Linked DNA regions of Schizosaccharomyces pombe. The gene in region 4 interacts genetically with the main gene of each other region. Each region holds a gene or a part of one and is shown on either strand. Other genes may lie near its edges. The genes, in order: ppc1, hst2, mag1 and hst4.

Evidence for each region.
Region 1: mutations in hst4 (region 4) and ppc1 impair growth when combined (synthetic growth defect), as found in Schizosaccharomyces pombe (one study listed by BioGRID).
Region 2: mutations in hst4 (region 4) and hst2 impair growth when combined (synthetic growth defect), as found in Schizosaccharomyces pombe (one study listed by BioGRID).
Region 3: mutations in hst4 (region 4) and mag1 impair growth when combined (synthetic growth defect), as found in Schizosaccharomyces pombe (one study listed by BioGRID).

Annotation. Positions count from the first base shown.
Region 1 is NC_003421.2:1,141,135-1,147,134, reverse strand, and holds ppc1 (phosphopantothenate-cysteine ligase), read left to right. Parts: upstream 1-2,901; 5' UTR 2,902-3,093; coding exon 3,094-4,044; 3' UTR 4,045-4,519; downstream 4,520-6,000. Other genes in the region: TIP41 type 2a phosphatase regulator Tip41, read left to right, coding at 1-752; ubiquinol cytochrome-c reductase assembly protein Cbp3, read left to right, coding at 1,228-2,079; cytochrome c oxidase biogenesis protein cmc2, read right to left, coding at 2,336-2,426, 2,489-2,667.
Region 2 is NC_003421.2:1,326,138-1,332,520, reverse strand, and holds hst2 (histone deacetylase, Sirtuin family, NAD-dependent Hst2), read right to left. Parts: upstream 3,570-6,383; 5' UTR 3,424-3,569; coding exon 3,345-3,423; exon of another isoform or gene 3,343-3,344; intron 3,288-3,342; coding exon 2,911-3,287; exon of another isoform or gene 2,844-2,910; coding exon 2,301-2,843; 3' UTR 1,731-2,300; downstream 1-1,730. Other genes in the region: SPOM_SPCC132.03 (uncharacterized protein), read right to left, coding at 176-245, 312-535, 730-966; ribosome quality control complex subunit Rqc2, read left to right, coding at 4,214-4,345, 4,391-6,383. UniProt on the Schizosaccharomyces pombe protein: NAD-dependent histone deacetylase, which could function in telomeric silencing, cell cycle progression and chromosome stability.
Region 3 is NC_003424.3:2,951,890-2,957,490, forward strand, and holds mag1 (DNA-3-methyladenine glycosylase Mag1), read right to left. Parts: upstream 2,976-5,601; 5' UTR 2,936-2,975; coding exon 2,249-2,935; 3' UTR 1,839-2,248; downstream 1-1,838. Other genes in the region: SPOM_SPAPB24D3.03 (agmatinase), read left to right, coding at 527-1,753; SPOM_SPAPB24D3.06C (uncharacterized protein), read right to left, coding at 4,175-5,125. UniProt on the Schizosaccharomyces pombe protein: Hydrolysis of the deoxyribose N-glycosidic bond to excise 3-methyladenine or 7-methyladenine from the damaged DNA polymer formed by alkylation lesions. Can release ethylated and propylated bases from DNA in addition to 3-methyladenine.
Region 4 is NC_003424.3:2,190,614-2,196,576, forward strand, and holds hst4 (histone deacetylase, Sirtuin family, NAD-dependent Hst4), read right to left. Parts: upstream 3,003-5,963; 5' UTR 2,869-3,002; coding exon 2,676-2,868; exon of another isoform or gene 2,551-2,675; coding exon 1,496-2,550; 3' UTR 1,451-1,495; downstream 1-1,450. Other genes in the region: vps66 (acyltransferase), read right to left, coding at 84-108; CENP-P family protein Fta2, read left to right, coding at 395-1,450; CENP-A chaperone, CHD family Hrp1, read left to right, coding at 4,404-5,963. UniProt on the Schizosaccharomyces pombe protein: NAD-dependent histone deacetylase, which contributes to both telomeric and centromeric silencing, proper cell cycle progression, DNA damage control, recombination, and genomic maintenance.

The DNA.
Region 1 (6,000 bases), on a different chromosome or scaffold from region 4:
AACAAGATGATTTTTCATTTAAATATTGGACTATCAAAGTCCAACGGGGGTCAATTTTAAAAAGCCATGAGATGGAGAACCTTCAAAGTACATTGGGTTTTCCACCTCCTGAGATGACCTTTGGGAATAATTACATCTCAATTGAATACAAGAATCAGCCTGTAGTTGGATTTTTTACTGAAGATGCTCTTAAAATGGTTGGTACCAAACCTGAAGATGTAATGCAAGTTTCTTTTGCAAAAGACTGGGCCAAATCCAGAATTAAGCCCGGAGAAGAATACCCTGTGATTTACCCATTTGATTGGACTTATTATACTGATTATCAGGGAACTATACAACGTCCAAATGCAAAATTCATTGAAATTGATCAGGTAATACCTGTTCAAAAAATACTTAACGCAGGACAAAATTTATGGTTCAATGAGATAATTCTTTTCGAAGATGAGTTAGCAGATAATGGAAAATCAATGTTTGATGTGAGAGCTCGAGTTGTTCAGGGTCATTTAATATTGTTAGCACGCCTTGTCGTACGTTTAGACAAGGTAAATGTTCGATTGAATGAGACGAGGATATATATTGATTTGTTGAATGATTTTCTCTTGAAGGACTGCCGTAAAAAGCAAGCTACTTACGACAAAATTATTAAACAAATACCTGTGGGGGGAGACAAAGCTGCATTGCTAGATGATAACAATTGGTTAAGTGAGCGCCTTGATACCGTTGACCATAAAATCTATAAATTGAATTTTTGATGCTAAAATGATTCGCTAATGGCAGACATGAGAATTTAGAACTTTTGTCAACGAATGAGTGTTGAAGCAATTTACAAGTTTATTACGTTTAGTTCATGGTAATATTTATAATCATTTTCAACTAAGAGGTTATTAATTTAGGTTTTCTAATTGAGAAAGCAAAATAAATAGATACAATCTTTGGTACGATTAAACGGCGAAGATATACTACTGAAACTGCAAACAAATTTAAAATGGTCCAGTAAATTTTAGAGTATACTTAATTAGGAAGAATGATGGCCTCGTAATATTGATCGTTCGTTATAACATTGTATTTGGCAATCAACCTGTCACAACCTCTCTTCCCCTTTATATTGTACGACATTAATCGATCCGTTTTTTATTTCAACCCAACTCCTACGTATTTATTTGCAGGTAATAATTAATTTTATTAATTAAGAAAAGATTATCAAAAGATCCTTATCGTCATTCAGTAATGAGTCGCTGCTGTTTAAATTTGCCATTGAGACCAGCATTTGTTAAGCAGCCGGTATGGGGGAAGAGTATATACGGTCCCTTAAGAAGAAGATTTTCATTTTCTCCAATAAATGTTATTAATCATTCACCTTCGGAAACGAAGAGAAGAGACCCAGTAGAAGAACTCAGATACAAACCCCTTACACCTCCTCAAGATCCACGTAAAGTGGCTCCGCCAAATAGTTTTCTAAAGAAAATAAGTCTTATTTATCAAAAATATATCTCTCCTAAACAAAATTTATATTATGAGGCTACTGGTACTGCAAGATACATGTATTTTGAGGCTGCTCGACAAGCTACCCCCGAAAAAAACTCGCTAGGTGCTTTTGAATTTTGGTACCAGAAGTGTGAAATTCCTATGACATTTCAGTCTTGGTTTCAAATAACGCAATTACATTTGTGGATCCTCCATACTCGCATTCGTGGTTTGCCAAAAAATGAAAAAGTTGCCTTTTCACAGGCATTAACTACTCGTTTCTTTGAAGACATGGAACTCAGAATTCATAAAGATTACCGCATTAATAGCAATCGAATTTCTGGTATGTATCTGAAAGATCTGTTTCAGCAACAGACCGGCGCCATTTTTGGTTATGATCAAGGAATGCTGGGAAGTGATGCTGTTTTGGCTACATCCGTTTGGCGTAACCTTTTCGTTGGTCGCCCAGACGTCGACTTAGTAATTCTTGAGACTATTGTTAAATTTATTCGCCTCAATGTTTATCGCCTGTCATGTTTATCAACCGATGACTTTATCAATGGGAAGGGAGTACACTTCGTCCCACCTGAAGAAAGTGCACAAACAAATATTTGATTAATAAATGATTGCTACTCTAATGATTAATAAATTGACGAACGGTCATGTTTATTATGCAAAACCATGAATCTTTTTTGTAAATAATTACTTTGAAAGCTTTTACCATTACGTTAAATTGAAAAGTAATGAGGAGCTTTTGAAATATTTTATAGTAGAGAATGTTTGTCAATTTAATTGAAATCGTAGCATTATGTTGTATTGGAACTAGTATTTTAATAGCAGTTAATACCGATATTATCGATGCATTAATTAGCTACTTCTTTTCGTCTTGCTTTCCGATAAAGCTTTCTTGTTTAGCTTTATTGTATTCCGACCTGATCTGCCACTCCGATATTTCGTCTGCGCTGCATATTCCATATTAGTTACATATCCTTTTTTATACATGATTGATGAATAAGTTTCTTACGCTTTGGTTAAACAATCCTTCATCGTTTTATTTTCACTTCTACATTTCCAGGTTACGCTAAAAGTCCTGCCAGTAGCGCATTTCACAAAATCTTCAATTTCTTTCTGGCAATTTTTTTTTAATAGCTTTTGGTGCTGTTTCCGAAGATCAAATTCCTCTTCAATTGGAGATTTATTCATTTTAGATAATCAGTAAAATGTTGGTAACTAAACCACGTTACCCAACAGAGCGCAAATAAATGAAAATTTTTAGTCTTAAGTTGATTAAAACACAAACTTAAAATTTATTTTAATTTTAGCTTTTCATAAAAGACAAGCACGAGTTGAATAAAAAAAAAAGGCCTTAAGTGTAATACAATCACAAAGTGTCGCGTTTCAGTCGTTTGTGGTGTCGCTATCGTCTACATTGTTCAATAAACAGACCACTACTTGCTGAATTTACAAGCTGCTAGAGAACTGTTTGGTTAGCATTTCAGATTTTGTGAGTTCTCTAGTCCTATCATTCAGCAATAACGCATACAGTTTTTTAAACGTCGTTTGTTTATTTTTGAGCTCATCGTAAGAGAGGCATTTCTGGGTTGCGATACTCTTAGCTATTTAGAATATATGCCAGAAATGGATAAATCTAACGATTTCTTTGAGGAGAATCCTTGTCCTAACTCACTCGGTGATGTCTCAAGTCTGATTGAAGATTTTATAAACCTTCAATCAAACTCCCAAAACATTGCATTTGTTACTAGTGGCGGCACACTTGTGCCTCTTGAGCAAAATACGGTGCGTTTTATCGATAACTTTAGTGCAGGAAATCGTGGTGCAGCATCTGCTGAATACTTTTGCAAGTCTGGATATTCGGTCATTTTTCTGTATAGAAATTATAGTTTAATGCCATTTACTCGACGATATGAAGGTCCCTGGACAAATTTGTTTGAAAGAAGTAATGGCAGTCAGGAGAAGCCTTGGATTGTCAAACAAGAGTTTCAATCGACAGTATTCAATGCACTCAACGAATTAGATACATATACGAAACATCATCGACTGATAATGATTCCTTATACTACACTCACAGAATATTTGTGGTACCTGAAAGCTATAGCTGAACGTTTACAGATAATCGCTTCAAGAGCATTGTTTTATTTAGCAGCTGCTGTTAGTGATTTCCATATTCCACCGAAGGAATTGAGCGAGCACAAAATTCAAAGTGGTTCTGGAAGTAACAAATTAGAAGTCAAAATGCATCCGGTTCCAAAATTTCTGCGTTTCTTGGTTGACACATGGGCTCCTGAAGCTTCTATTATTTCCTTTAAATTAGAAACCGACCCTAGTATTCTGATTGATAAAGCAAGAGTAGCTTTACAACGTTATAACCACCAGCTGGTGATCGCCAACCTTCTTTCAACAAGGAAACGATCTGTCGCGTTTGTAACCTCAAAAACGGTTGAATGGCTTCATTTGAGCGACGATGACATTGTAAAAAAGGTAGAAATCGAGCAATACATTGTTTCGAGGGCAATTTCGTTGCACAAGGAACGAATTCAAGAGTTCGCAAAGGCACCTTAAATTATGTTTATTGACGATTAGTCGATTATGAACTTATAAAAAGTACTAGTTATGTTTCTTATCTGCTTTAACTTATATGAACTATCGGTTTTTCTTTTAAACATTTTACTCATTTATATTGTTAGGGTTTATTATGCAAACACCAGTGGTACTTTTTTATTTCTCTATCATTTTCGTCTTGTTATTTTACGAAGTTGCTTTATAGCATTTGTAGAGGGGTTTACGAAAAAAATGAAAGGCTTTATAAATTGCTAATACGAGCTATGAATTGAATCGTGTACTATTGGATCTGTTGTAATTTTTTAAAAATTGCAGCTTTTTTTTTAGATACTTATTACTGTTGTAGATTACTCAGGTCTGAAGTGTGTTAAAGAATATATTAAAAATGATGATTAGTTTATAAAAATCAATGTCAGGAGTATATAGAAAGCAAAGACTTGAATTTAAAATGCGCAACAGTTATCTTGAATGAACAAAAAATAAATAGTGAGTACCTGTAAGTAGTAAGCGTATATGATTGTTTCTAAAGCCTTCAGTTCTTTTTGAGATCCCATACTTCTTATGAGTCGCTTCAAACCCCATGACTAAAATGCTCATGTTTAATTGCAAGCTCACGTACACAAACAACGGCGATTGTTATATAGTTCAATGAAAAACCTATGAGATTTCAATTACTTTTAAAACTGTTAGAGAATCAGAATGCAAAGGTTGGCAGCTCGAAAATGTCGAGGATAAAACAAATATTTAAAAAGGCTATTATGGCTTTTACAGACATTGGTAAATAATTTTCTTTATAAATATTTTAGTAGTTTTTAATGTATATGAAGTCGCAATGGTGTAGTTGGGAGCATGACAGACTGAAGATCTGTTGGTCATCGGTTCGATCCCGGTTTGTGACACTTTTTGTAAAACAACACAAGTTTATGTAAAGAATTCTTTATACAAAACTGGAAAAAACTATAGAACAAAGCTGCAAACGTTTTTACGATAAAACTGACCTATGACTTATAATCCAGTTCCTCTGCTTCCTATTGAGACATGTTAAGACGGTTAATCATAAGATTCCATTCTGGATGAATTGCACCATTCATTAATCGTGGTTCTTAAGCTAAAAAGGAAATTATTCCGCATCAAGGGATATCGCTCTAAATTACGTTGGATAGAATGGTTTTCTGGATCAAGCGTATTTTGTTTATTAAGGATGCTGCATTAAGAACGAAATTTAGGAAAACTGTATTCACCTTGACGATTTTGAACGTGCAATTGCTCAAGTAGGTGACCGAGCATCTAAGTTTCTTATTAAATCCCAAAAAAGCCTAACGTTTGTAGCAGAATCTTGGGAAGTCGATAACAATTACATCATTCACAAGCTGTTAAAAAAAAATACTTATAACTTCCTCTTAAACCACCTGATTATCTTTACCACTTTATTATTCAACAAATTTTAAAGATCGTGAATGTTCAAGGTAAGAAATAGAAGCGATTAGTTTTTCCATAAATTAGTTTATAAGTTTTGCATCATGATTCATCAATGACTTTTTTCAATCTTTTTCTGTAAAGAACAGGAATTCACAGTGTGATCACAATCACTTTTTTAATTCCCAAAATGCTTTTTAATAATGAATTGCAAATGCGCGATTGCTTACTAAAGTCACGGCAAAATTAAAACACTCAAAGTTCAATCGTCTCAGTCGTTTGCTATGTTCGCCACGGTTATCTTGAAGCATATTGTTAAATCTTCAATAAACAAATAAACAAAAAAAACATATAGTTGATAAGGTCGCTTATTTTTTCCCGGACCAATTAAAGCAAGACCCCTTGTTTATTTAAATGTGATGAATATTAAAGCTCCAAAAAATAATTTGCATGGTTTGCCTTTTTTTAATTTTTTTATGCTTGCAGCTGAAATGTTTATTCGTATTTATTGATTTAACTAGCCTTTCAGATGACATTATA
Region 2 (6,383 bases), on a different chromosome or scaffold from region 4:
ATAAACTAGGTACTGGGAACACAGTAACAAAATCATTTTACCAACAATAAACCTTTCAGGCATTCAAAGGAAACGTGCCATTGTCATATAAAAGAAAAATCATCCAAATACTTTATATTCTCACAACGCAAGTGGCATTTACAATGCGAAGTTGAAAAGAAAAATGAATTCCCTACTAGAAATGGAAAGGGGATTGTAGAGGTGCATTTTCTATAATTGGAGAATCCCGTTGAACGTCGGTTAGACTAAAATGTTAATACAGATGGAAATTTTACTACATTGAACCTCTCATATATGATATGTTTACGTACAAAGATAGATTGGTGTCAATTTCCAATTTTCTCATAGTTCTTCTTTTCTTATTTTTTGCAAGTAGCTCCAACAACTTCTTTTTCATTTTTTTCTCGGAAATGCTCCAACCCATCTTTAATAATGTATTGTGCACAGATCGTAGAACTGGCTCAGGAGGGGCCCATAAACATATAGGGCCCATGGGAGTACAGGTTATGGGTTTTTGAAGTTCATTCTCATAGCACTAACAGAAATAGTTGATTAGTAAATTGGGTTATTTTGTAATGTTTTTGCATAACGAAGGGATCTTTGTAAATCGAATTGAGAGATTTAACATGTTTTCACCTCAAAATTCGCCACTTTTAATTGTGCAAAAAAGGAGGGATGCAGCCAAGTTTGCTTCTCCTTCCTTAATTCTTTTCAGCATCTTTGTCATACCATTAGCAAAATGGATTCTTGTTGTTCTGACCAGTCGTCTAAGTTCAAATCATCTATTGATTCAATGCAATCTTTTTTCAATCCTACGCCATTTGAAACGTGTGAGTCATTTTCCTTAAAGACAAAATTTAATGGTGTCTTAGGAGGCATGCTTCCATTTAAACAACGAAACGGCATTGTGTCGTAAGCATCAGTCAAATCCTCAGGACCGGTGATCCTCAATCGCTTGGGGTTCATTGTTATAATGTGTAAATTTCCAATTCTTTTGTTCAGAGGATCCTCAACGAAAGGAATCAAGATAAAGATTACAAATGAACTTTTATTAACTACTGTAAAAAAGTGAGTAGTTCTTAAAATGATAAGAATTGATCAATTGCAACGATAACACGATTTATCATTCCCTTTTATTTTTAAATTCTTTCCAGACCGCTTAACACGCCTGTATAAAAAGATGGCAAAACAAAGAAATTGAGACCTAAGATCCCTATTGACGTCAAATCTAAAAACGTTAATTATAAATCATATATCTGGCTTTCGAACAATTATTTATTTGCTAAGCATTCATATAGATCAAATTCATGAATCTTGTATAGCTAGGTAGAAGGAAGCGTTAGAATCGGTAAATTCTTAGCAAACCGAACAGGAGGTGACAGCCATGTAGTCAGTAATTCGTACAACTCATAAGTTACCCAAAGGTACATAGATATATGCAGATAAAATAGATATAAATTTAATAATTGTTCTAAAATTAACTGATAATTGTTCAAGCGCTTAGATACTTGTTTTCTGTAATATGAATTATGTCTTTACATCTCTAGTTCATTTTATGAACAATAATGACCACAAGAACAAAATTCAAATCAGAACTGGTTATGATGATGGACTAACTGGTTTATACACCGTCCCCTGTTACAATATACAATTCGTAGAAAACGCTTTAGTTTTTCAAAGGAAGCATTATTCTTGAATGAAACTACAAAAAGAACAATTTGATTAATTATTCCTATTTCCAATTCTTGGATAATTCAAAGTTTTATTAAATGAAAATGAATAATCTCCCATTTCAGAACTATATGTTCCAAACTGAACAGAAAAAAGGTTTCGACAAAGATTGTATTAGATTACAGTGCAGTAAATTTGAAACCATTATCAATTATTCTAGCGCAACTTTCTCATAACCCAAATTGCGTATATAGATGGACGCCAATTTTAAAAAAAATGCAAGTTATTTTCACGAAAATGCGAGGGCATCTTCATGAGTTTGATCGAGATCGTATACAGAACCCCCTTTTTGTTATCCTTTTCGCATTAGTTTAACCCAGCATACAACTCATAAAGAGAGCAATATGATTCATGGTTAAGAGGCAATCAAAAGGACGCCTGGAAGGAAATATTATAAAATTGCTGAAATAAAAAAAAGTATTTAAACTTGTTTAAAAGAAAACGAATCGTATGTGTAGATTCAAATATTCATCAAACCGAATCGTGAATTTCCGTTTTCTTAGTATAATAAATATAGGGATCTCCTAGTTTTAATCATGACAATATAGAAAATTTCCCGAATAACTGAACTATTCATCATCAGAAACTAACAGCGTCACCTCGTCTTTTTTCTTCTCCTCTATTTTAGTGAAAGGATTGACCGAGTTATCGTCTTTCTTTTGTTCAGAGGCATTCTTTTCTATTGTAGAGTCAACAGAAAGTAAAGATATTTCTTCTGTCAGCGTTTCAACACTCGTATCAATCAACTTTTCCAATTCATCAGACCATCCTAATAGTTTACATAACGCACGTACTTGGGAATCACAATCCCCCAATATCATGATATCCTTTTTTCTCTCCCCAAAGTCGCCAGCTGGTTCTCGATTAATCAAAACTCGTTGACATTTATTTGGCACTATTTCAGGCAAATCCGCGAATGGATGAACAAGTAAACTTGTTCCAATTACCAGTGCCATATCACAGACTTTTGTGTCCTTTTCCATGTGCTCGAAGAAACGCATTGGTAATCCCTCGCCATAAAACACAATCATTGGTTTGATGAGACCTTTGCAACTGTTGCATTTAGGGACCTGTTTTTGCATAATACATGCTCTAACATACTCCGTTTCCGCCTTTGTTTTCCGTCAGTAAAACCAATTTCTGCTTTTTCACTTTAACTTTTTCAAAAACAATCCTTACCATTTCGTAACATTCAATACAGCGGCTGTATTGGAAAGAGCCATGTGCTTCAATCAGAGCTTTGTCAGGCACACCTGCCAAACGCTCCAAGGTATCAATATTTTGGGTATAACATTTTTGTAGTAACCTTTTATCATGTAAAAGGCGTATAAAATAATGAGTATAAGTTGGTCTATACTTTTCAGGCATCAATTCGTGAGCCAATTCGTAGAATGGACGCGGATTTTTTCGAAAATAAGATAGATCAAAAACAGCTTCTGCGTAAGGAAGATTAAATCTTTGTAAATTATTGTAAATTCCAGTCTCAGGGCTTCGAAAATCAGGGATTCCTGCTGCAGTGCTGATCCCTGCACCAACCATAACACATATTTTCTTTACTATTTTCGATAAAATCGCATTAGTATGGTCAAGGAAAGAAAATTAAAAGTCATTACCTTTTCCTTCTTTGATTAAGGATGCAACTTTCTCTAAATGCTTGGAAGAGTCGACGTGTTTAACAGTGTTTTTCACCATTGTCGAATTTCTGAGAACAACCAAAGCAAGCCAATAATCGATTTACCTTAAAAATCCCAACTCAAACTCTTTCAAAAATTGGATCACTTAAAATTCTCAGATATGAACAAATCAATATGTTAATGCACAAAGTTTGTGGGTACGCCAAATTTCCATTATTATTTACTCGTTGAAAATATCAAACGCCATTACCGATGCTCCATTAAACTGCATTATACTGTTTAAAAGGCTATTGTATTCGACTTTAGTACTCGTTATTTGGTAAACATTTAGAGCCATCTTTTTCAATTAAGAGTTTCTGGATGTCGTTGAAAAAATGAGATACGGGGTAATCAGAAATTATGATTAATCAACTTTCGGCTCACTTGATTAGATTCAGCAACGATAACTCTTGACTTTCTGGTTTTACTTATTGGGTTGGTCACACCAGTTTGACATATTAGGTGTCAAAGTTTTTTATAAGTTTATCATTAGTTAACTATTTTTTATCTTTATAATCAGTGTCATGTACGACTATAAATGTACGATTAAAGAATCATCGTCGGGAAAGAAATAATGAATTTGAGAGAACAATCCAAATTTGCGCTAAGAATTTTAATGCTGCTAATGTACACCGTTTTATGGTGCAATGGTGTGCTATAATTTTCCTTATTACATATTGCGGATATCATTGCGCTTTGTTAGTGCTTCAGTTTCACTTACGTTATACACATGTTTACATTCTAACTAGAGCCTATACTTCATTTTGTTGTAACGCAGAAATTCATTTAGATAGGTGTTATAGACGTAAATGAAGCAAAGATTTTCCGCTTTAGATATTGCTGCGATTGCTGCGGAATTACGAGAACAAGTGGTTGGGTGTCGCTTGAATAACTTTTATGATCTAAATGCGCGTACCTTCTTGTTGAAGTTTGGTAAACAAGTATGTGTAGAAAGTAATAAATATTTTTTTACTAACCCGTTAAAGGATGCAAAATATTCTATTGTTATTGAAAGTGGGTTTCGTGCTCATTTAACAAAATTTGATCGAGAAAATGCCCCTTTGTCTGGGTTTGTAACGAAGCTACGAAAACATATAAAATCTAGAAGGTTAACTGGTGTCTCTCAGTTGGGTACTGATCGAGTACTCGTTTTCACATTTGGAGGTGGTGCGAATGATCAAGACCCCGATTGGACGTACTATCTGGTTTGTGAATTTTTCGCTGCTGGAAATGTTTTACTATTAGACGGCCATTACAAGATTCTGTCTCTTTTACGAGTGGTCACCTTCGATAAAGACCAAGTTTATGCCGTAGGGCAAAAGTACAATTTAGACAAAAATAATCTCGTTAATGACAATAAATCTCAGTCTACTATTCCTCATATGACAGCTGAACGATTAAATATCCTTTTGGATGAAATAAGCACTGCTTATGCTTCTCCTACTTCTATTAACGAACCTTTACCTGACCAACAACTATCCTCTTCTACAAAGCCGATTAAAGTACCCAAACCAGTTTCTCTTAGAAAAGCATTGACTATAAGATTAGGTGAATATGGTAATGCACTTATAGAGCACTGTCTTCGGCGTTCAAAATTAGATCCACTATTCCCTGCTTGCCAGCTCTGTGCAGACGAAACCAAGAAAAACGATTTATTAGCTGCTTTTCAAGAAGCCGACTCCATATTAGCTGCAGTTAATAAGCCCCCAGTAAAGGGTTATATATTTTCACTGGAGCAAGCACTAACAAATGCTGCTGATCCTCAACACCCTGAAGAATGTACTACATTATACGAAGATTTTCACCCTTTTCAGCCTTTACAGCTCGTTCAGGCAAACAGAAAGTGCATGGAGTTTCCAACCTATAACGAATGCGTTGACGAGTTTTTCTCTTCTATCGAAGCACAAAAGCTAAAAAAACGAGCACATGATCGCCTAGCGACAGCTGAGCGAAGGCTTGAATCGGCTAAAGAGGATCAAGCACGAAAACTTCAAAGTTTACAAGATGCCCAAGCTACTTGTGCGTTGAGGGCTCAGGCAATTGAGATGAACCCTGAACTTGTTGAGGCTATTATCTCATACATTAACTCTCTGTTGAACCAAGGAATGGATTGGTTAGATATTGAAAAGTTAATTCAATCTCAAAAAAGAAGAAGTCCGGTAGCTGCTGCTATTCAAATTCCCCTTAAACTTATAAAAAACGCCGTTACCGTTTTTCTTCCTAATCCAGAGTCTGTAGATAATTCTGATGAAAGTTCAGAAACCAGCGATGATGATTTGGATGATTCTGATGATGATAATAAAGTGAAGGAAGGAAAAGTTTCGTCAAAGTTTATTGCCGTTGAATTGGATTTATCTCTTGGCGCCTTTGCAAATGCGCGTAAACAGTATGAATTACGTCGAGAAGCTTTAATTAAAGAAACAAAGACTGCGGAGGCAGCCTCAAAAGCCCTGAAAAGCACCCAACGCAAGATTGAACAGGATTTGAAGCGCTCTACTACTGCAGATACACAACGTATTCTCCTTGGTAGAAAGACATTCTTTTTTGAAAAGTTTCATTGGTTTATTTCTTCGGAAGGTTATCTAGTTCTGGGAGGCCGTGATGCCCAGCAAAATGAATTACTTTTCCAAAAGTATTGCAACACAGGTGATATCTTTGTTTGTGCAGATTTGCCAAAGTCTTCGATAATTATTGTAAAAAACAAAAATCCTCATGATCCTATTCCCCCTAATACTCTACAACAAGCTGGATCCTTGGCTTTGGCTTCATCTAAAGCATGGGATTCAAAGACCGTAATCAGTGCATGGTGGGTTCGAATTGATGAGGTATCGAAACTTGCTCCAACAGGTGAAATTCTTCCAACAGGAAGTTTTGCTATTCGGGCCAAAAAAAACTATTTACCTCCTACTGTCCTCATTATGGGATATGGAATATTATGGCAGTTAGATGAAAAAAGTTCTGAGCGTCGCAAAGCTAGAA
Region 3 (5,601 bases), 760 kb from region 4:
GGGATAGCGATATTGAGTCAAAATAGCAAAAAGCCAAATGATTAAACTCTTGATTAAGTATACGATTTCCTAAAAAATTTCCTGAGACAATTGAACGTAGAAGCCCGTTTTTATATTGCTAATTAAGATGATGATCATCTTTCTAATGTACTGCTTAATCTATTGATTAAGTAAGTTCTATTTAAATTCTGGATAGGATAAGAGATTTCAATAAGCTATTACCCTTTTCATTTATCTTGTCGAGGTTCATCTCTATGAAATAAGAAACAATAAGGCTTTAGATTTCCGCCAAACCTATCGATAGCTTATTTTCCTAACCACCCCCCTATGCTTGCAGTAAAATTTATCGGCCATTTTTCTCCATGGACTCCGTTATACAGTACTTCTGCAATACAGGCGCCGATATTCGCCATAAAATGAGTTATACGATTAGTAGATTTTTGATATGATGGGCTTGTATTAGCCCTAAATTTGAAAGTATATAAAGGCCAGTTTCACTGTCTTAGAACCGTAGCTACAAGAAATTATGAAAAGTGTTGAATGGTTTACATGGGGAGTTTTTCTGCTACTTTCTGGCTTTGGAGAAGCTGGGAGGATGGGCTTGGGCTTTCAGGAGAAGAATCCAGTTTTCGTAAAGGAAAAACAATCACCATTCTATGCTGTACCTAGTAACTATGAGGAAGTAGAATTCTCAAGTATAGTCGAACCTATGTATTCAGGGATTGCGACGTTTGGTCGTTTGGAGAATGTTGAATGTTTGAGTAAAAGGTCAGAGGACTTTGATATTGCCTTTATAGGAATGCCTTTCGATACAGGCACTTCTTACCGCCCTGGTGCTCGATTTGGTCCAAGCAGTTTGCGTGAAGGATCTCGACGCATAAATACTAAATACGGTGCAGTGAATGTACCTCTTGAAATCAATCCTTTCAAATCATGGGCAAAGCTTGTGGATTGTGGAGATATTCCAGTCACCACGTATGATATTCTTAAAGCTATGGATCAGTTAGAAAGTGCATATTTCCAGCTAATAGCTCGAAAGCCCTCCAGTTTTACTGACCATGATGGATTTGCAAAAAATGATACTGTGCTTCCTCGAGTCCTTTCACTCGGTGGTGACCATACCATTGTCCTTCCCATCTTACGAGCTTTGCATCGTGTTTACGGACAACCTATTTCAGTTATTCATTTCGATAGCCACTTAGACACGTGGGCTCCTGGATTGATTGGCGATGGCGATGAAGCAGATGGAATAAACCATGGTTCTTATTTCTACTTTGCTAGTCAAGAAGGTATTATGAGCAAAGATGCCAACATTCATGCTGGCATTCGTACTCCTATCTCTAGTTTCTCTGACTACGATGATGATGTTGATTGTGGTTTCAAAATCATTGAGGCTCGTGAAATTGATGATTTGGGGATTGATGGTATCGTCAAAAAGATTCGTGACAGAGTTGGTGATAATTTGGTATATTTATCCATTGATATTGATGTGCTTGATCCTGCATTTGCACCCGCTACGGGTACTCCTGAAACTGGCGGTTGGTCATCTAGAGAAATGAGAGCAATTTTACGTGGTTTGCAAGGTCTGAAATTCGTAGGCGCTGACCTTGTCGAAGTAGCTCCCGCTTACGATGTTGCAGAAATAACATCCTTGGCTGGTGCGCAATTGTTATTTGACATTGTATCTATGATGGTGAAATATCCTTTGGTAAAAGAGGCTGATTTATCTCGTTACATGCCAATACATAAATAATTGAAATAACTGGTTTATTTAATATTCAATATTTATATCGACATCATAGATACAGATACAGAAATGAGCATGTTCAAAAAAAATCATTATTCATTATATTATTAACATATCATACGCAAGTATATCGTTAGAGACAGCTGAGCGTCATCTATCTTGTATCACATAAAGTAAAAGACAAATGTAGCAGAAACGGGTTTTCTTAACCACCCAAGAGTGTTTTGTAAATATTTGCAAATGAACCCATTAAAACATCTCATCTCCCTTTTGTTATTTTTGCCATCATTCACCAAAAAATCACTTCTTTTATATAAGCGTAATGTGACGAAAATGCTTCGTCTGAGTGGACGTAGACATTCTATTCAGAAATGATTGAAAAGATACTATAAATTGGTAAACCAAAAATAAAAAGAAGCGTACATAAAATGTAAAAGACCAACCAGGAATAAACTTATCGAATTCAACTTTTTACTTTTAAATATATAATACATCTGTCCTTCAGTGTTTCTTCGGCCTAACAGGCTTTGTATAATCGGCAAGTTTTGACGTTTTCCAGAGATACCATGCTGCTGCAGTACGAAAAGGTGCACATATTTCACTATGCTTAAGAACATACATCTTGGTTGGAATTTTTGGTAATCGGTGTAGATATCGGTATCCATTACGAATACTCAAATCGTCAGCTGGCATAACATCATCACGATTCAACGAAAAGATGAGTAACATTTCTACTGTCCATCTTCCGATTCCTTTAATCTGAGTAAGTCGTTCTATCAATTCTTCATTTGAGAGCCTTTCAGCTTCTTCTTTAGTAGGAATCAAACCGCTGATTGTTGCCTCAGCAATGCTTTTTAATGAATCAATTTTACGAGCTGAAAATCCACAGGCACGCATTATTTCAAAATCCATATCACGAATTTCCTCTGGTGTTGGAAATTGGCCATTGTTAGAAATACTTTTAAAGCGATTGAAAATTGCGTTAGCAGCTTTACTATGCAATTGTTGAGATGCTACCGCACGAATTAATTCTTCATAAGGCTCTTTTTTCTCCATACTTCGATTGGGTCGATAATTACCAACGAGCTTCACGAGCCGTTTCCAATTCTCATCCAATCCAGAAAGATGGATTTCTGCTTTTGTGAGTGAAGTGACTATCTCTTCTTTCTCTTCAATGTCCAAAGTCATAATAGCAAAGATTCAATTGATCAAAAATTTATCACTCATTATGTGCTTTTGACTAAACGGTAAGGGTTTTCATTCCTTAGGAATTGCACTGCAATTCGTTATTTATGTAAGCAAGTCCTAAGCTAAAAAAAAGGAATCTTGAAGCAAATTCAACATTCTTAGATGTAATTTGAAACTTCAATTAAATTTTCATCTGGATCGCGAAAATAAATAGAGAGGATAACTCCTTCAGCTCCAGCCCTTGTAATAGGACCTTCTTCTATGAGAACATTTTGCTTTTTTAAGTGAGCAATGACTTGCTCTAAGGGTGTTTTAGCTATTAGGCAAATATCATTTGACCCAGGAGTCAGTATGTGTGATTTTGGGTCAATCTCATTACCCTTTTGATGCAAGTTGATTTTTTATGACCGAAACCGAGTGCCTTGCGATTGTTTCCAAATGCGATAACCGACATTCCTAATGTGCGCTCATAGAACTCACAGGTGGCTTCTACGTCTTGGACAGTGAAAACAATATGGTGGAAACGATCAATTTATATAATATCTTTTTCCATTAGTTAGTATCAAAGATCTTTTATAGATGTAAAATGTTGTAAAGGAGAGTCAGAGGAAACTAACCACTTCCGTTAAACAAGTAACAACTCTTCGACCTTAGAGTATATGACAGATTAAAGAAATATTGGGCGTTCAATAAGGCATAAAATGGATAAAACGATGGAATAGCTATAAAGAAAGCATAGTGTTTTAAGAATTATTCATCCACCTTACTAAGCTTACTTTCTCTAATTAGCATTGACGTTGAACATAAAGAAGCTTTGCAGTTGTCTTCATAATACAATTGAAGTAACTATACGCCTTAATTTACAATGACAGAAGTATGGAGATGAATATTGTTATATAATCTTAACACGTATAAAATGGATAAATGCGCTATGAAGGGAATGGGATAAACATTAAGTCTTAATTTGTAAAACAGTAGATTAGTAACTGGAATTGTTCTCAATATACCTTTTATAGCATTTCAAAAGTAACTTCAAAGATAAAAAATATCACAAAAGTTATCAAACTCCAACTTTGAGGAAGCTTTTGATAGCTTAAGGGTATGCTTTTGAATTTAAAACATTACTTTTGTTAAATCTCCATTGCGAGATTTTGTCGAATATTTCATCCGGATCACAATTATCTAAACTGTTCTACGTGACTTTTAGCGCTAAAGTCATATTCTATGTATTACGAATCTTTATTGATCAATGAAGCTTCTTAAAGCCGTTATAAGTTGATTTATCAACCATTTCAAAGCTTCTGGTGAAGATTTTGGCCCGACATTATGTGTAGCTCCCGGTATGATGCCGCTTAAGGAACTATTAGAAGTTGTAGGACGAATTGATTCGCGAAATCGGTTCAGTAATTGTGCTTTATCAGTTGATGGCGAGACGAACTCGTCCCTTTCCGACATAAGCAGTATCAACTGACTATGTGCTGTGGAGCCGGAGATTTCTTTGAGATTACCAAAAGTTTTAGCGAAATCATCGGCGCTCAGGTCAGAGGAGAAAAAGTCATCATTTCCGCGGACATCTGTCAAGTCAATGCATCGATTTGCAGATGTCGGAACTTCACCAAAAAAATTCTCTACCTTGCTTCTAGGTAAAACATCATTTCCTAGTCCTTTGTCAAGATATTCTGCTTTAACCCAGTCAACCAATTCCTTTGTTTTTTCTTTCCCGTTAAATTGATACGCGGCTTCTCTATCCGATACTGGAGCTTGTGCTATTCCGGCGATTAAGTAGTTTGGAAGAATGGACTGTGTAAGATAGTATAGTACATTCTGCGATCCCGTGGAATGTCCCATCAAAACGATTTTGCGAGTAGAAAAGTCCGCGCCTCCAATGTGCAAAAAATAGTCCACTGCCTTGTGTAAATCCTCGTCATCTCGTTTCAAACTTCCCGTTCCCCATCCTATATACGAGGACTGAGTTTGAACCTGTACAATACTCCAACCAATTTCATCTAATGGATTGACCAGTTCTTGAACATATGGTACTGTCAAAAGACCATCGCCAAGTCCCCCGACAAATAACAATAATGATCGAGTTACGTTGGATGTAAGTGTAACGTTACTTTTTCCAACTAGCTCGAAAGCAACAAGCCTTTCTGTGTACTCATGGAGAATACCAGGATGCGAGGCTGACATCGTGCAATAAATAAAAGAATCAAATTTTTAGATGTTGAAAGTTGAATAATTTTCGCCTAACCTTACAAAGTAGATATTCATACGATGCTCAAATACGAGATATGAGCAAGGATTATATCTTATCCATTATCAGCAAAACAACAACTAAGCTCACTATTTTGATCGCGTGCTTTATAATATAATTACAATCCGGTTTACAATCAAGTTTAAGATATGATTATAGAAATCTCATATAGAAGGATTGAATTAGTAAATTTAGGTATTGAAGCTTGGAGTTGATTGTACAAAAGTTAATCAATTCAAGAGTTTAAGGCGTTCGAAACTATTTGCTTAGTATTTTCCAAAAATTATTGTTTATAGATCATTCAGCTACTATAAAGTACGAATTTTGCAATTCCTTCTTTTGCTTTTGCTTTATGTAGCTTTCCATAAACCACTATGGATTTCAAATAATGATGGTCGCAGTTGGAACGAAT
Region 4 (5,963 bases):
TTTTTGCTTTTATTTTTTTTTGCGTTCTATTTAAACAACATTTATGTGAACAATCAAGCATTTAAAGTATTGCATATTCTTACCTCTCCAGCGAGTAAATTTCTCCATTTCACAATGAAAATGATAAAATATTACAAATATTATTTTTAGTAGAGTAATATGGATTTCAGTCGTAAAAATGAAGTAGTGATTTCAAAGTGGTAGCTACTAAGATTCACTTCTAGGTTTAAGTGTTGCTTTGACCATGACTATATACTATATGCATTTGTTCCACCATTTGAGGATTTTGGATTTTTCATTAATGTTGCATAAAAAGTATTAAAACACTTTTGCACGAGCATTGTTAATTGTAGTAATACTGATACTATTATCGCGTACGACTATAAATATCAAAATGTCCGGTAGGCGATATAGTCAAATTTCTCAACAAGAAGGATCTAGCAGTAGTGATGATAGTGATTCGCAACAAAAAAAGACAAAACGTACTGTTGCTCACCGAAGCCCAAATACTACTTTAAATGGCATGCCTCGCGTAGATTCACGAGCGAGGCCTAATGAAAACAGTGGACAATCCAAATCTAGCAACGGAAGAGTAGACACTGACAGAAAAATGGATCTTTTGCGCAAAAGGAGTAACCTTGTACATCAAACCCTGCTTCTTGAGAAAGAGGTGAGGGTTAGACGAAATGCAATTAACCAACGCGACGATTCGTTTTTAAGCGGATTTATAAAATCATTATTAGAGATTGATTCCTCTGTAGTAATTTATAATACCGAAAACCCTGATAATCCTAAAACAAAGCAAGTTATGCCATCTGCTGAACCCAAAAAACATGTTAAATTGAATTCGTCCATATCATCCATTCGTTTCACACAACATGAATTTGAAGCGGAATCCGAGAAAATCATTCATCATTCTCTTAAAGGAGATATAGAATATCTCCCAAGCTTCAAATTTTTACTAGAAATTAAGGTCCGAACAATCGATTATGCTCTTTTATTTATTACTTATAAAATCCCGCATTTTGCTAGAAAAGAGCTCAGTAGTTTTTCGGACTCTGCAATACAATGTCTCGATATAGTAGCTCTTTTGAGAGCGTTCTCATTATTTGCCCACCATTACTCATATCGCTGCAATACGTGGTTTTATTTATCAAAGCATATGAAAAAAGTGGCATCAGCAAACATGGACGCTCAATGTTTCTATGTTCAAAATTCCTTTTACAAAATTACAATACTTTATGAGATAAAATTTGATGATCTTGGTTTTGTACAACCTAATTACTGCATCTCTTATATACTAAAGAATCAAAATGAAAAAATTGTAAGCATCACATCAAAGTTGCTTAATCAATTAGACAAACGTTTTTCGGAATTTGTATCGCTTTTCGGATTCAGAGAAGGTTCACTACTATTATTACAGGCATTATTTAAACCTCATTTGGGGTAAGAAGGATAAATTGATATTTTTAACATGGTTTATTGAAGCTAAATGTTAAAGCGGAGAAGGGGTTGCATATTCAACTTCTTGTTTAATTTCCACCTTGGGTATTTCAATACTATTGAGCACTTGGTGCAACTGAAAAGAAGTGTTATCTTTCTTAGAACTATCATTGCTTTTCGTGTTCAAGCCAATAGCTTTCGTAATTTTAGTGGAAGAAGTAATCTTTGTTTGTTCGGAAGATTTTTGTTTTGAAGTTCTTTTGGCAGAATGGGACTTGAGTTTCCAACTTGGAGCATCTAATAAAGGCTTCAGACGTCTAATAGCAATTTGAAGGTCTCCTTGTACAACCAGGTCGCATAAGTTCAAAAAATCTTTCGTAGGTTCGTCATAATTCAACCAAATAACATTTCCCTTCTGTTTATGCACACAGTTGCTCATTTCCTTGATAATTCTTTTGACACCAGGGATTTTACAAGAAGTACCAGCAACAATTAGACAGTCAGGGCGGGACTTTAAATCTTGTGAACAGACCGAACCAATAGATTCGGAATCCGGATGTATCTCATTGTACAAAACAATCCGAGGACGAAGGCAACCCTCGATAACTGATCTTTTTCCTGCTATACGACGAACCTCGTTCTCGGTTTTACAGTCAGGGCAAACAGTAACACCATTTCTATCAAATATATCTGGATTAAATTTTTTCAAAAAGCTGCACCTTGTGCAACTTACAACTTCCAGTGTCCCGTGAAGAGGAATCGTGGTAGGCCAAGGGGCAGACTGCGGCAATGGAATACATGTTTGAAGGCCCTCGAGTCTGGTTTCTAAAAAATCAATATTTTGTGTGTATAAACGTAACAGCTTAGATTCTTGGGCTAGTTGAGATAAAAATAAATGGAAATCAGTGGGGCGTGCATTATTAGAAAGCATATGTAGCTTTCTAATCATTGCGTGAAAGATGTTAACACTCTTAAGATCTCTGTAAACAGATCCATCAAACAATTCCTTCCCGGAGCAGTTCAATTTATACTCCGCACGAAGGGAGGAGAAAAGACCCTCAGAGGAACGGAAATCAGGAATTCCAGCATCACAAGAAATTCCAGCACCTGTTTAAACGTATTAGTAAATGAGCCTTTGTACGATTATAATATTTAATTTTTTTTTTAATCCCACTTTTTTTTTAAGTGAAAAGTTAAAATAAAAGAAGGAAAACCATAAATAAGCAACATACCAGTAACAACGACTATGCGCTTTGCCTTGCGAATGGCAGAAACTAAAGGAGATAAATCGACATTTTCATTGCCTGTATGAAGTCTAAGTGGAAGCTTGGAAAGTAATTGCTGCCTTTTCGAAGCATTTTCAGAAGATTGGCATTTTCTCTTCCTCGACTCCTGTATTAGAGGGACGTGCTCCTCCACTTTCATACTAAGCTACGTAAATTTGGAATTTTTTAAATCCAAAAAGTTGAGTGCATTAATTAAAATATATTAAAATCATTGAACTCTTCGACTTCTTCCTAAAATGGAATGGTTGAGGAATTAAGTTGTGATTGACGGTTAGGCGGTTGTGTCTACGTACGTTTCGAAAGGCCGTTGAAGGACAATTATATCGCTTGAAAGACTCAATTTCGCCATGTCTTTGTATAACAGTAATCGCAATTTTTTTCTCTATTCACTTTTAAAAATGCCGTTGAACCAATGTTTATTTAGAGTACTGATTTTTTTGTTTTTACCCATTTAATAAAATGTTCAGACTAGAAAATCAGCTTTCATGCTGACATTAATAAAAAGAATAAAATTAAGTCTTCAATAATCCTTCTGAGATTTCTCCTTCTATCAATATATAAATTGTCTAAATAGTCAAATGAAATAAATAAATATATACAGAAACTGGTAATAAAAATATTAAAACAAAAAGGGATTGCAAAAATTTAAAAAAACAATTGAAGTTCCATTTTCTTAAATATTGGGAAAACTTTCAAGAGTTTTAAGTACAGTATTTTTCCTTGACATTTAATTGAAAAAGTTGGAAGGTGAAGTCTTTCATAAAATTCTCAAAAAAATAACAAAACCAATAAATATATCTTTGAATCTTTGGTAAAATATCCATGCAGTTAAAAAAATTTAGTAAAACCAATCGGTCAAATTTTTAATTAGTTTATTTCTTTCAGAAACTATTGTTTTCTCTGTCTCGATTCCCCTCTCAATTGTAATTAAAGAAGTAAATAAATACATTATGTTTTCATGAACAATTGAAACAAAGAAGCATACGTTTATGTGAAAAGTTTCGACGTTTTTGTGTAAACTATTTAACGTTATGGGATAGTAAACAATAAAATATATAGAAATTTTTTGAAATTAATGATCTTTAAATTTAATAAAAGCATGCGAACTGAAGCATTTTATGAAATACGAATTTGCCTTCACGTTTTGCACAGTTAATTTGAAAATGAAATAAAATCTGCAGACTTGCTCGGAAATACGAACCGGAAATGAAAATTGTAAGCTAACTTAATTTCCATGGAGTGAATGAGAATAGCTCGTACATTTTATGGCAAAGGATTTTTTTGTTTGTAAAGGTCTTGCATTTTCGCAAAAATTGAGAGTGGAAATTGCATGAGTAAAAATAGTGAATCCTTCTCAAAAGGTAAATTTTATTAATAAAAAGGGACTCTGGAGAAGTAATTTGATACCAAAATCACCTGCATTGCCTGGCATTTCATTTATAGTGTTGCATATTTTTGCACTATTAATTTCTGCCAACAACATAGTAATTTCAATTAATAGCCTTATAGGCATACTGCTTATTCCTATTAATCCTTTGTTGCTTCACTGTTAATATCCAGATATATATTTAAAAAAAAGCATTTTAAGCTTTTAAAAGAGAGTCTGCAAAGGAGCGCCTACTTTGTGGACGTTCTCAACATTTAACATTATATAAATTTTCTGGAGTAACAAGAATGGAGCCTGAACATTCGAATTATGATTTAAAAAATCATCCTACGAGCGTTCAAGAGTCTACTTTAAATGGCTCTGCAGTAACTGATCCTCAGTTTGGAAATACAACAAATTCTCTACCTAGCATGAATGGCCTGTTAAATCATGAAAATTCTTTCGCTTCGCAGCAATCTTTATCGTCTTCTGCCTTTGATGATTCTGAAATCGTAACCAGCACTGCTAATAGCACAGTTGTATCTTCTGCTTTGTCTACCCCTAAAATTGACGATGCGCAAAACTCTGACGATGTTAGAGTAGATGGTACAAGACGTTCTTCAAGGGCTAAACGACCCGTTTATCGTGATTTCTCTTATACTGAAATTGACGAGCATGAAATTCCGATTCCTAAAAAACGAAAGAGCAAACCTGCACCAAAGCAAAAAAAGTCTGTGGCTAGCGATGATGAAGACGCATATGATAAGAGACATAGATTCAGTATTAACTCTGCTTCCGGAACCGAAATCCGTACTTCATTGCGATCTTCAAAAGGTAAAAGCGTCAACTACAATGAACAAGAATTTTACGACGACTTCGAGGACGAAGAAGAGGAAGTAGAAGAACAGGTCGAAGAGGAATATGAGCCTATTATTGATTTCGTTTTAAATCACCGAAAGCGAGCGGATGCACAAGACGATGACCCGAAGTCTAGCTATCAGTATTTAATTAAATGGCAGGAAGTTTCCCATCTTCATAATACTTGGGAAGATTATTCTACGCTTTCTTCTGTGAGGGGCTACAAAAAAGTCGACAATTATATAAAGCAAAACATCATTTATGATCGCGAGATTCGTGAAGATCCAACTACAACCTTTGAAGATATCGAAGCTCTGGATATTGAACGCGAACGTAAAAATATGCTTTTTGAAGAGTATAAAATTGTCGAACGCATAGTAGCTTCTGAAACTAACGAAGAAGGAAAAACAGAATACTTTGTAAAGTGGAGGCAGCTTCCTTATGATAATTGCACATGGGAAGATGCCGACGTAATTTATTCTATGGCACCAAATGAAGTTTATCAATTCTTGCAACGTGAAAACAGTCCGTATCTCCCTTATAAAGGTGTTTTCTATAACACCCGTCCCCCGTACCGCAAGTTAGAAAAGCAACCATCTTACATTAAAGGGGGGGAAATCCGTGATTTTCAACTTACTGGTATAAACTGGATGGCATATTTATGGCACCGGAATGAAAATGGTATTTTAGCAGATGAAATGGGTTTGGGTAAAACCGTGCAAACTGTGTGCTTTTTATCTTATTTAGTCCATTCTTTAAAACAACACGGTCCTTTCCTTATTGTCGTACCGCTTTCCACTGTTCCGGCTTGGCAAGAAACATTGGCCAATTGGACACCTGATTTGAATAGTATTTGCTATACAGGTAATACGGAATCTCGTGCTAATATTAGAGAGTATGAATTCTACCTTTCTACGAATTCTCGCAAGCTTAAATTTAACATTCTACTTACGACCTATGAGTATATATTGAAAGATAAGCAAGAACTCAACAATATTCGCTGGCAATAT